Danio rerio: one gene and its partners. Each later gene encodes a partner of the first gene's protein in a complex. Links are inferred from orthologs where the notes say so. Each region holds a gene or a part of one and is shown in the gene's direction. Other genes may lie near its edges.

Region 1 (4,440 bases):
AATGCATTTGCTATTTAAACAGCGTGCTGCAAAACAACACTTGTGCCAAGCTGAAACTAGTAAATAGCATTTGCGCCGCGCCTTGCGCCGCATTGCGCCGGGTGTATGATAGGGCCCCTTATCTTTTCCAGATTAGTATTGTAATGATTTGAGCCTTTTATACAGCTGCCCTGGACGCTGTGAAGTGACTGTGTTCATCTTTGCTGCTGTGATTGATTAATGTTGTTTTGATGCTCTCTGAACGTTCACAAACAAACTAACATCAGACTAACACACACAGATGAAGAGCACACATTAGACACACTTATTGATCTGAGTGTCTGAAGCAGTGTGTGTTTCAGGTAAATCTGTGTGTGTGTGTGTGTGTGTCTGTGGTCTGCTGTTTGAGACACTCTGTCCTCAGATACTGCTGCAGGTGTGAGAAACACCGACAGTGTCAGACACACACACACACACACACACACACATTGTGTCTTCACCTTTTCTCATGCTAAAAGAAACACAGATGTGTCAGACACACACACACACACACACACACTCTCACTCTTTTATCCACACTCTAACACACACACACTTTTTCTCTCACATGCAGTATGTACTTACACACTGTGTCTGCACCATTTCTCATGCTAAAAGAAACAAAGATGTATCACACACACACACACACACACACACACACATGTATCATCCATTCATTCATTCATTCATTTTCTTTTCGGCTTAGTCCCTTTATTAATCCAGGATTGCCACAGTGGAATGAACCGCCAACTTATCCAGCATATGTTTTACACCCTTCCAGCTGCAACCCATCACTGAGAAACGTTCACACACTCTCAATAAAACTCATACACTACGGACAATTTAGCCTACCCAATTCACCCTGTATCAAGGTGGCGCAGTGGGTAGCACGATGGCCTCACAGGAAGAAGGTCGCTGGGTCAGTTGGTGTTTCTGTGTGGAGTTTGCATGTTCTCCCCGTGTTGGTGGGGGTTTCCTCCGGGTGCTCCAGTTTCCCCCACAGTCCAAACACATGCGCTATAGGGGAATTGGGAAGGCTAAATTGCCCATAGTGTATTAGTGTGTGTGAGTGTGTGTATGTGTGTGTGTGTGTGTGTGAGAGAGAGAATGTGTGGGTGTTTCCCAGTGTTGGGTTGCAGCTGGAAGGGCATCCGCTGCGTAAAAAAACTTGCTGGATAAGTTGGCGGTTCATTCCGCTGTGGCGACCCCTGATTAATAAAGAGACTAAGCCGAAAAGAAAATGAATGTTAATACAAATTTAAATAATGATGCTTAAAATAATGCTGACCATCACAGGAATACATGTAAGCAGGTTGTCTGCTTATAAATAAAGTACATTTAAAAACACACAATTTATAAAATGCCAAAATCGTGTTTACTAGTATTGATTTAAACCATTTACGTCTGTTTACACAAGTTGTTCAAAATAAAATCAAAACAACTTCAGTTCAGCCGGTTTGTAGTTCAGCTTGAGCTCTCAGAACTACACTGACCAGAAGCGCTAGCGGCGTCACCGGAAGTGAGTGAGTTTCCAGCTAAACACGCCGCGCAGGGTCACATTGGATACACACACCGATGTTTTGTAATATTAAATAATAAAGATACTACATTATCATTACCTTCAGTGTACATGGATCCGCCTAAAGCAGGTAGAGGAAGACTTTCATTTCCGCCAGACTTGTTTGTTGTGAATGTGTGTGTGCTGAGCTACAGTACAGTGTGTTTACTGCTCAGAAATGACAGGAGTTTCTCTAGCGATATAATCCAGTTTACTGATCCACACATTACTGTAGAGACAGACTGCCATACCAGGAGTTATTCTGAATATAAATCACTATAATGAGATCAAAACATACTTATTTTATAACACTGTCCTGATTTTCAACTAAACCATAGTGTGTCTGATCAGCAGCAGCAGCTTCTCATCAATACATTAATGTGTAAATCACTTTCTGCTAATATTTAATCTAATAATGTGGTTCCTGTAGTGATCTATCACATGCAGTCCAAAATGTAGCCATCAAACCATCATATTTATTTAACAATATATTAGCACAGTGGTTCTCAAACTGTGTACAACGCAGGCTTACTTCCAGTGGTACACGGAGGAATCACTGAGTAATAAAAGAAAAATACAATTTTAATCATATGATGTGTACGATAACTCCAATCTGATCAGAATTGGCTGTTCTCTAAAGCCTACGATAAAAGCGATGTGCTTAAAATGTTTACTTTAGTGCATCAGCTGCTAAAAATCAATCCAATTGACGCAGAACTAAGGAGGTGTGTGGTGTTTGCAGAGCAGATATGCACTAGAGCAGGGCTTCCCAAACTTTTCAGCCCGCGACCCCCAAAATGACAATGCCAGAGACTCGTGACCCCCAATATTCTCTGAGGTGGTGGTTATAAATACAGAAACCTTGTATGCAATGATGCACACACACACACCAATAGACCCAAGTCTATTCTTTGTTTTTTTATGTATGTCAGTGCTGTAAATGGGCTAGAAAGTTTAACCTGGTGTTACAAAATCTGCTGCATCTGACAGTATTGTTGTGTCTTTAGTATAATGTAATTACCCGAGAAGTCGCAATCCAATAGAACTAGTAACTATAAGCTACTATAGTAACTATATAGTTTATAGTAACTATAAACGACTATTTTTTTCTCTTCAGTAAGTTATTGATAAAATACAGTAAGTCTTAAGGTTTAATAAAAATTAATCGATTTTTAAAAATCACCAGGCGACCCCCCCTTCATTGTCCCGCGAGCCCTCGGGGGGTCCCGACCCCCACTTTGAGAACCTCTGCGCTAGAGCAGTGGTCCCCAACCCTCGGGCCACAGACCAGCACTGGTCTATAGATCAATTGGTACCAGGCTGCACTAAAAATGATTAATTATTTCCGTTTTATTCATTATGTGAGTCTGAATAATCATTTATTTTGAAAAATCTTTTATTTGGAAAAATTACAGTATTCTCTTGTTACATCATGGTCACTTGAGGGGCAAAAATTGAACCCACAAGCCAGCAAAATGAGTAAGAATTGCAGCACGATGCGCTTGCATATTCCAGGAGTGCCTAGTTAAAAACAACTTAACTTTTCAGAATGCAGCACGGCGAGTCACGTGACAAAAACCCACTTCATCAGCTTCATATTTCGTATGGAATATCATTTTGATAGACTGATTATCTCAGACAAACACAGAACACCCAAACACTGCAGTGCTTTTTTAATTTTCTCCAAAAATAAAACTTACAGTGCAGCAATGTTATGTCAGCTTTTCCCCACCAATCTACATACAGGTTAATGTTTAGATTTCAAAAAGTTTTACAAATATGTCATATGTGCATGCAACATTCATTCATTCATTTTCTTGTCGGCTTAGTCCCTTTATTAATACGGGGTCGCCACAGCGGAATGAACCGCCAACTTATCCAGCAAGTTTTTACACAGCGGATGCCCTTCCAGCTGCAACCCATCTCTGGGAAACATCCACACACACATTCACACACTCACACTCATACACTACGGATAATTTAGCCTACCCAATTCACCTGTACCGCATGTGTTTGGACTGTGGGGGAAACCGGAGCACCCGGAGGAAACCCACGCGAACGCAGGGAGAACATGCAAACTCCATGCAGAAACGGCAACTGAGCCGAGGCTCGAACCAGCGACCTTCTTGCTGTGAGGCGACAGCACTACCTACTGCGCCACTGCTTTGCCCCTGCATGCAAGATATCTTTCAAAATCTATCAAATATTGTATAAATATGAATATGATTCTCGTTTTGGAACTGTGCAGTGCTGTAGCTGCTTAATTTGGCCAACTATGCTACTCTATTTTTAGTACTGGTCATTATTGTGGTATATGGAGAGACACTTTTTTTCTGAGGTGGTATTTGGTGAAAAAAGTGAACCACTGTATTAGCAGAATTACTGTGAAAAGTTATGGAAAATCCACTTTGTTGTTTAAAATATTCCTGTAAAAGGGTTATGGGAAACCCATCGTCATTCTCTTTCAGATGATGGAAGTGCTCACAGTCTGATGATGTAGTGTTTGGTTCAACAGATGAACAGAAACGTGTTTATTAACAGCATTCAGGCCCAAAGGTGTCTGAGATATGAACAAAGGTAGAATTATATTTGACTAAAGTTTACCCAGAGTGATTTCACTGATCATACAAGAGTTTCTGACACCTGGGCTGAGTTTTTAACCTCTCGGTAAATCAACTCAGAGTTCAAGTTTAAACTCACAGGTTGTCAGTTGTCATGTTGGCGTGGGTTTCCCCCACAGTCTAAACACATGCGCTATAGGGGAATTGGGTAGGCTAAAATTGTCAGTAGTGTATGTGTGTGAATGAGAGTGTATGGGTGTTTCCCGGTGATGGGTTGCAGTTGGAATGGCATTCGCTGCGTAA
Region 2 (4,085 bases), on another chromosome or scaffold:
CTAATTCTTTATACAATACATACATTGTTCATTTGAACCAATATAATGCACTTTTGCCGAATAAAATCACCAAATATTTTCTTAATTTGGATTTTAATTTGCTACATACACCTTTTTAAACCATTGATTCTAAATTAATGTTGGTTTAAACGTTATCTTCATTTTAACGCAGTTATTTATGCCTTTGTGTTTCTAAATGTAACCTACATTCTCTAAGTAAACAGCAACGCTCAGCTCTAATGCACTGGCACAGTCTGGCAGTGATGGATACCAATAAATAAGTAATAAAGCTTCACATAAAAAGAACGGAACTCAATTTATGACGTTAGAGAATTATAAAAACATAGTTTTCACACAAAATGTGTTAACAGTGCTTGACTCTTCTGTGGAGCACAAAAGGCAGAATGACTCTCAGTGTTCATTCAGTTTCATTGTTTGTTAAAAGAAGTAAATGGTAACGATGTCAAAACAGTTCCACGGATAGAAGGGAACATACAGTTTGATAACAACAAGAAGAATGCGAGTAAATCATTTCATTTTAATTTTGGATATACCGTTACTATTGCTTTAACGCTCATTAGTGGAGTGTTTTAGATCCGTCACTGTCAGGAAATGATAGCCTTTTAGTTTCGTCTCAGATGAAAGTGAATGATAGTGTGCTTAATATACCAACGTACGGTACAGCTAAACAACTCTGTAAACTACGAACCAAACGGCTTAGTATACGACAAAAACAAATGTAAAGCCGGTGTGAGACACAACAGGAGGAAGCTGGAGCTGGAGTACCTTGGGTTTGGTACCCACACCCGCGCGGTCCGGTCTCTGGACACCGACACGAACGCTCCGTCCGGGAAGGCGACAGCGGCAAGACCCCGGACATCCATGTCGTGCGCCGGGAGAGAAGAGCGCAGTCTGTATGAGTTACTGCCGGACATTTTTACAGCTGAGAGACGGCGATCACTACACACACTGACACAGCAACACTACACACATACACAATGCATGACGGGACAACACCGGGCAAAATAAAAGCCGCACTATCAATTATAACACTGACATGATCATATGAAATACTTCTATTTTTATGAGTACAATATCATACTTCTGTAAATATTCATTAACATTATAATAACCCTAATTTTGCGCTTGAAGTATGCATAATATATTTTAGTTAAGAACAGACTTTAAACTTTTTATTTCTAACGTGAACTTCACCCCGGAACAACTTGAGTGTGTTTGCGTCCTCGAGTGAGGTGAAACTGTCAAAATCATGTCCAGTTCTAAGAGGATAACGCTCATATTTGGAGGCTTCGTTGCAGCTGTTGCTGCAGCTTTTTATCCTATATTTTTTCATCCTCTCACACACTCTGAAGACTACAGTAAGTGTTTAATATCACTACTACACATGAAGTCACCGTGACACAGCCTAAACTTAACTTATGTCATAACGTCACATTCGATTACCCTGCATTTTGTAACTTATTAATCGTATTGGAATAATATATTTGGTGACATAGATTGGGATTAACGTTAGGCATGGGAAAATAACTGTTAACGGTTTTCAAGGTATAGCGCGGTTTGCAAAAGTTAAGATTTTAAAATTGTCAACATTTTCTTATATAACTTACCGTTTCTAAGGTATGTGTACGATTTTTTATTTACATTTCTTTTTTATGACAACAGTATCTCCAGCAGAAACGATATCCAACGATGTCATTTTAAATGGTTAAAAAGTTAGTGTTTTTAAATCAATTGAAGACCACATAAGTCAATGATTCATTTGAATTATTTAGCCTCACATGTTAACTGTTCTAAACAATTTTAACTGTTTCTCCAAATAAAATATATTGTGTTTAAAGTGGGGGAAAATGTTTTATTTTTACCCAGATATTTAAAAAAAAATACATTTTAGATCAGTAATCACAATACCATATACAGTATTACCGTAGAACCGTGAAACTGTCATATTTTATTCAAGGTTATCATACTGTCAGAATCTTATCTTATAAATTTATTTTCATCTAATAAAGCTGTTAAAGTCTCAATCAAAATAATTCATAATTGCCATCCAATAAATACCAAAACTAGCTAAATATAATAACAATATTTTCCCTTTATGCATTTTGTACTCAATATAATGAAACACTAAATAATTTATTTTGGGAGTGCACTTCCTGTCAAGTGTTTTGGGTTGACTTTTTCGATTTCATTAAAAAAAATCTTATTTCCAAATTTCTGTATTTCCCCAAAATGTTTTTCTTTGGTTACTTTCTGAATGTAGATCCTTCTCTTTGTAAATTTATTATTAATTTATTGCTTTTTTTGGCTAAATTTTACATTCATAAATGTAAATAAAAAAAAAAACATCCTTACTTTTTATTTTCAGAAAGGACTATTATATTACATGTAAAACTCTTTTAAACTTGTTTATTTTGCTGGAATTTTAGTCATGTAACCCTTTTTGTTTCTTTGTTCATACTGTATCTTTGTATTGTTCTTTCTTGTATGATAAAAAAGAACTTTAAAAATACATTTAAAAAACGTATTATTGGGATAATCAGGTTGAACAGTCGTTATAATCTGATGTAAATTATAGAAATAATATTTCAGTGTTTTAAGGAATGTACACATATTATGATGCTGATTTTATTCTACGTTGAATTACATACAATGCAGAGCTCTCTTGAATGAGACATGTTGTATGTATATTAGGTTAGGTTACTTATACCCAAAGGTAGATTTGGTTTGCAGTCAAGAGTCCTCATTTCATAGCAGTGCCACACTAAAAAACTCACATAGTGACAACAACAAATAGACATAAAACATAAACGTACAAAACGTACACTCTTTAAAAAAAAAAAAAAAAAGAATAAATAAATAATTATTTCAAGAGCCAAAATCACTCTGGACCCCTCACACCCAGCACACTGCCTCTTTGAATTTTTACCTTCTGGTCGACGCTACCGAGCACTGTGCACCAGAACAGCCCAACACAATAACAGATTCTTCCCTCAGGCAATCCATCTCATAATTATGAAAAGAAAAAACATCACTACTTGCTATAGCTATACACTTTTAATCCACATATACACTTATTTAGCAACATACTTTACATGCCAATTTACACATAACAGCTGCACATATAACGTATATAATAATACACATGTACACACACTTGTCAATTTGTATATTTGCATTCACTTTCTACTTCTATTTTTAAAATACATTTTTTTATCTGTTTTTTTGTCCTGTCTTTGTAATTCTGTTGCACTGTAGAAAGCTCTGTCAGGAAAGCACGTGTGAACACACCTGGCAGTAAAGCTTTTTCTGATTCTGATATACAAGTATCGTTTACTTCTACAGCTTGTTACAAGAAACCAACGACTAGATGGAAGGAGCTGAAACTCTGAGTGTAGGGGATTTTTATTATGTGTTAAGTTAACTTAATTGATTTGTGTTGGGAATTGCGTGGATTCCAGCATTTTGCATTTTTTTACAGTGCAGTTTTTCAGTGTATCTGCGGAGTCTTAAAAAGTCTTAAATTTCTAAAACAAAATTGAAGGCCTTAAAAAGTCATATTCACTGGAATATTGTGTTGTAGGTCTTAAATCATTTTAAACTGATCTTAATTTTCCTCTGTCCAATTAAAGCTACACAATCGGGCAAACATCCATCCAATCACCAACAATCCATCTTAATAAAATCAAGGAAAGAGAACTAAAAACCATTACACAGTTCCTCATGATAATAACAGAGTAATATATCCCTTTCCTTTCCCAGGGATGGGTTGCAGCTGGAAGGTCATCCACTGCGTGAAACAGGTGCTGGATAAGTTGGTGGTTGATTTCGCTGTGGAGATCCCAGATAATAAAAAGACTGAGCCGAAAGAAAATGAATGAATATATCCCTTAACATTATCTTCCATTCATACAAAAACTCTTTACAGAAGTAAGGGGGAGTAGACATAATATTTATAAATAGGCATTAAACTTAAAGTTTTTATGAACAGAAACACATTAGGTTGAATAGAAGTTAATACTCAATCAATTTAGACCAAAGGCCAACAAATATATAGTTTGGTTATT
Region 3 (4,176 bases), on another chromosome or scaffold:
AATATTTTAAATGTTTCTCAAATTAAAATATATTGTGTAAAAAGGGAAAAAAGGTTTTTTTTTTTTTTTTTTTACCCAGACATGTAAGAAGAGCATATTAGAGCAGTGATGTCAATACTGTAATACTGTGATATTTATATCCAAGGTTATCATACCATAATCTTATATCGACCCATGCCTAATCAGTGATAGTTTAGGCTGTAATATCATGGCTTTCCTAATGGCGTGTGCTAGATGGGCAGGTCACTGCCAGGGCTCCCGATTTTGGAGGACCGTGTGCACCCAACGGTTCAAACACTGTATCTTGAAGGTGTTGCTGTATATCAGGATGATAATGCACCAATACACACAGCAAGACCGGTAACAGAGTGGTTTGATGAACTTGAAAATGAAGTTGATCATCTCCCATGGCCTGCACAGTCACCAGAACTAAATACTATTAAGCCACTTTGAAGTGTTTTAGAGAATCAGGAAAGGTTTTTTTCCCCCCACCAGCATCATGTAGTGACCTAGCCACAATCCTGTAAAAAAATTGGCTCAAAATCTTTCTGGCCACTCTGCGGGACATCTGAAGGTCATTCCCAAGATAAATTGATGCTGTATGGCTGCAAAAGCAGGATTTGGGGCATATTTGAAGTGAGAATTATTAGCCCTCCTGAATTACTAACCTCTCTTTACCCATTTTTAAAACACATTTCTAAACATAATAATAACTAATTTCTAATAACTAATCTTTTTTTATATTTGCCATGATGGCAGCTACATAATATTTTACTAGATATAGATAGTATTCAACTTAAAGTGCAATTTAAAGGTTTAACTAGATTGGCGATTGACGTGAACACGTTTTGTGTAACAATGGGGAACAATTTGTGTAACAAGGATGAAATTCGGAGAGTTTGGAGACTTGTTGACTTTTAATTTGTAAAATAAAAAATAAAAACAGTAAGTGTGAAGTCAACAACAAATGCCTTCCAGTTCAATAAACTAAATCGCCTTATAATAAGTTAGCCTATATTACAGGATATATTTATTTTCTCAACAATTATTTCAATTCAAATCAACACAAATTATGTTTAGGATGCCATAACTTTAAAATAATAAATGTTGTTGAACATCTGTGAGAAAATTTGACAAATATGATGTTTAGTTTCTTCCACAGGCAGTCATTTGCTTCATCCTTAAATTATATATATTATATTATGTTCTACTTAAAAAAAAGTCATATCCTGGAAGGTTTGATGGTAAATTAATTGATGAGGTATCCTTTTATATTCGTGGACTCTGATTTGAGGCTTTTATTATGAAAAAACTAAATAGCGTGAAGCCAACAAATAATGACTTCTAGTTCAGTGTGTTGGTTAAACGACAAGACATGTGAAAGTCATTAAAATACGTTCTTTAAATTTATGCACGTTATATCTTTTATTTAGAGCAATATATTTGTTGTACTCATTATGTCTTCTTTAGTATTGAGAATTGGAAGGACGACAAATTGTGTGCAGCACATATTAAAACGTGTGCATGTCAGATTACAGCAACCGAGATCATCTTTACTGACACTAGATCCCGTGTTTCAGACAAACCACTGCCCCTGTTCAAAGTGGGCATTTTATCACACTCGCTCGCTTTATACAGGAGTTTATTTGTGTAGTAGGAAAGATGAGCAGAAGGACACCGATCAACTGTCAGTCTCCAGAAGTCCACACACTCCTTCCAGAGGGTCTGCAACACAGAAAGGTAACGTTACGTGTTTAAAACTTATTTTAATGTGTTATAAATGTTAAGTAAGTAACGATTAAAGTACTTACTGGTGTTTATTTACTTTTTACATGTTATATAACCAAAGATTGGTTATATACATATGCACTATACTTAAGTATTACAGAACTTAATAAATGGGTCATTATCAAGTTAAATTGCCTTTGAGACATTAAAAAGGTTTTTGATTTAACCACATAGTTGTTGCATTAATTAGACATTAGCTGTTAGAAATAAATGTTGGTCAAGCTCCAGCACTTTTTCAAAATAAAACCCAATATCTAAAATATTTTGTTAAACTTTCAAACTTAAACAAATTATTTATAAACCTAGCAAAAAAATCCTATGTGATTTCTTAACTATAGAATAATGGACATTTATTTTCATAAAAGTTTAACATGACAGTGGTAAACAAGATTACAGGGTGGATATTGGTATGTATTTTTATTTCAAACAGTCAATGAGCTCCTTTATATGGACTTTAGAAGGATATCCTTTATATAGACTGAGAAAGATATTGCTGGTAAAGTATGTGTGTATAAGAGTTGTTACATAAAACTAACTAATTAACAATAAATAAATACATTAAAAAAATACATTTTATTAAATAAATAAAGTGTCAATAAAAAAAGAAAATGATTTGTGACAGGACATTGTTTGGCTAAAGATAGCATTTCTTCAACACATGTTTTACCTGCAGCTGATAAAGTGCCTCCTAAATATGCTCTTTGTACACAGTTTAAAAGCTTAATTTTTTTTTTTTCAGATTTTTAATTTTTTTTATTATTATTTTATTCATTCATATTTCACTGTGACATGGTGGAAATGTTAAGCTTGACAATATTCAGTTTCAAACACAATATGGGGAAAAATAGGAAACGAAAGTTAGTTTAGATACTTACTGTGTGCACAGCAGATAGGCCTGTCATGGTATCTATTTTTTGTGGTTTGATATATAGCAACAAATGTTATTGCGATAAACAATATTATCATTATTTTAAGACCATTTTGACACTATAATAGCATCGTAATGCAAGTACACCCCTCCAAAGAACACAATATTTTATTCTTAAGAATATTTAATTATAGTCATTTTAACAATTTAATAATTAGGTATTGTAATTTCATAGAAAACGTATATCCTAAACAAATAAATAATAATATTAATACTATATACTAATACTATAATAATTAATAGTAAATACTATAGTGTTTTTTTTAACCATACTAACACTGACAGATTATAAACGTAATCAGCTACAATGTGGCTAGAACTAGAATAGTTTTTCATGTATGGGCGATATATGTTGCATCACCAAAAATGATTGAAAACATGTCTGTGTGTTGTACGATAAGTCAATATATTGATTATTGTGACAGGCCGAACAGCAGATGTTTTAACCTCCTCTGTAGAGGGTTTCTTATTCGAGCATTTACTACATTATGATGGAGTGGACAACAATTTTAAGGACCAATGCAAAATGGTTAATAATGTTATGAAAACAAAATAAACGTTATCAAAATGACATATTTTAACAAATAACTTGTTTAAGACTTAACTTGTTTTTTTTTTTAATCTTTTCAATTTTATCTAATTTACCTACTTTTTAGATTCACTGAAGTTGGCTGTGTAGTGTGTGGGACATGGAAAAATCACATTCATTCAGTAAAAGAATATTGGAAAATTTGACAGACATATTTCAAAACACTTCTAATTCTACCCGCTTGTGTGTAAAGGTTTTACCAATTATATTAAAACATCAGAAGTTCATTATTTCGCATTAAGTTCATATAGGACTGATTCAATCATGTGAGACATCAAAGGCACTTTATAGTGATAATAGCCCAAATACATTGTAAACATACAATATACAAAAGGTGTAACAGGGAGAAATGTGTTAACATTTTATGAAGAATGCTATGTAACTGACAATTTTATATCTGTAATGTACTTCAGCAGTAAAAACAAACAAACAACAAAAAAAACATTATTTTTCTGTTATTGTAACTTTGTTCAATTTTTAAAGGGTACTTCCAAAAATTGAAATTATGTCATGATTTACTCACTTAGACTTGTTCTAAATGAGTTAACCTTTTTTTTCCATAAAAGAAGAAGAAATGAAGAAAAGAAGAATGTTGGAAACATTGACTCATTTTTATAATTAGTTAGTAAATGCAGTTAATGTATTACTAAATGCTCAATCTAAATGGTTTATTTGAATCAGAATTTGTTGACCCAATAACAGATGCAATCAGATTGGTCCAGTTTAAAAATGAATAATTCGGTACGATTTGGTACAATGTTTTGGACTCAAATGTAGTAGTAGTGGTAATTAAAAGTAAACATTTTCTAAAATAAAAAAAAAAACTTTAATAAAGTACTGATAGTGAAGTAAACAGTACAGTTTTGATTAA

What was found.
Region 2: cmc1 (region 1) and smim20 share a complex: the UniProt entries of both Homo sapiens proteins name them as parts of the MITRAC (mitochondrial translation regulation assembly intermediate of cytochrome c oxidase complex) complex. The link is inferred for Danio rerio from reciprocal best matches to the Homo sapiens genes CMC1 and SMIM20.
Region 3: cmc1 (region 1) and timm21 share a complex: the UniProt entries of both Homo sapiens proteins name them as parts of the MITRAC (mitochondrial translation regulation assembly intermediate of cytochrome c oxidase complex) complex. The link is inferred for Danio rerio from reciprocal best matches to the Homo sapiens genes CMC1 and TIMM21.

The regions. Positions count from the first base shown.
Region 1 is NC_133191.1:59,066,836-59,071,275, reverse strand, and holds the start of cmc1 (COX assembly mitochondrial protein homolog), read left to right. Parts: upstream 1-1,517; 5' UTR 1,518-1,648; coding exon 1,649-1,667; intron 1,668-4,440. UniProt on the Homo sapiens protein: Component of the MITRAC (mitochondrial translation regulation assembly intermediate of cytochrome c oxidase complex) complex, that regulates cytochrome c oxidase assembly.
Region 2 is NC_133182.1:65,051,085-65,055,169, forward strand, and holds the start of smim20 (small integral membrane protein 20), read left to right. Parts: upstream 1-1,213; 5' UTR 1,214-1,270; coding exon 1,271-1,379; intron 1,380-4,085.
Region 3 is NC_133199.1:17,611,247-17,615,422, forward strand, and holds the start of timm21 (mitochondrial import inner membrane translocase subunit Tim21), read left to right. Parts: upstream 1-1,318; 5' UTR 1,319-1,457; coding exon 1,458-1,740; intron 1,741-4,176. UniProt on the Homo sapiens protein: Participates in the translocation of transit peptide-containing proteins across the mitochondrial inner membrane.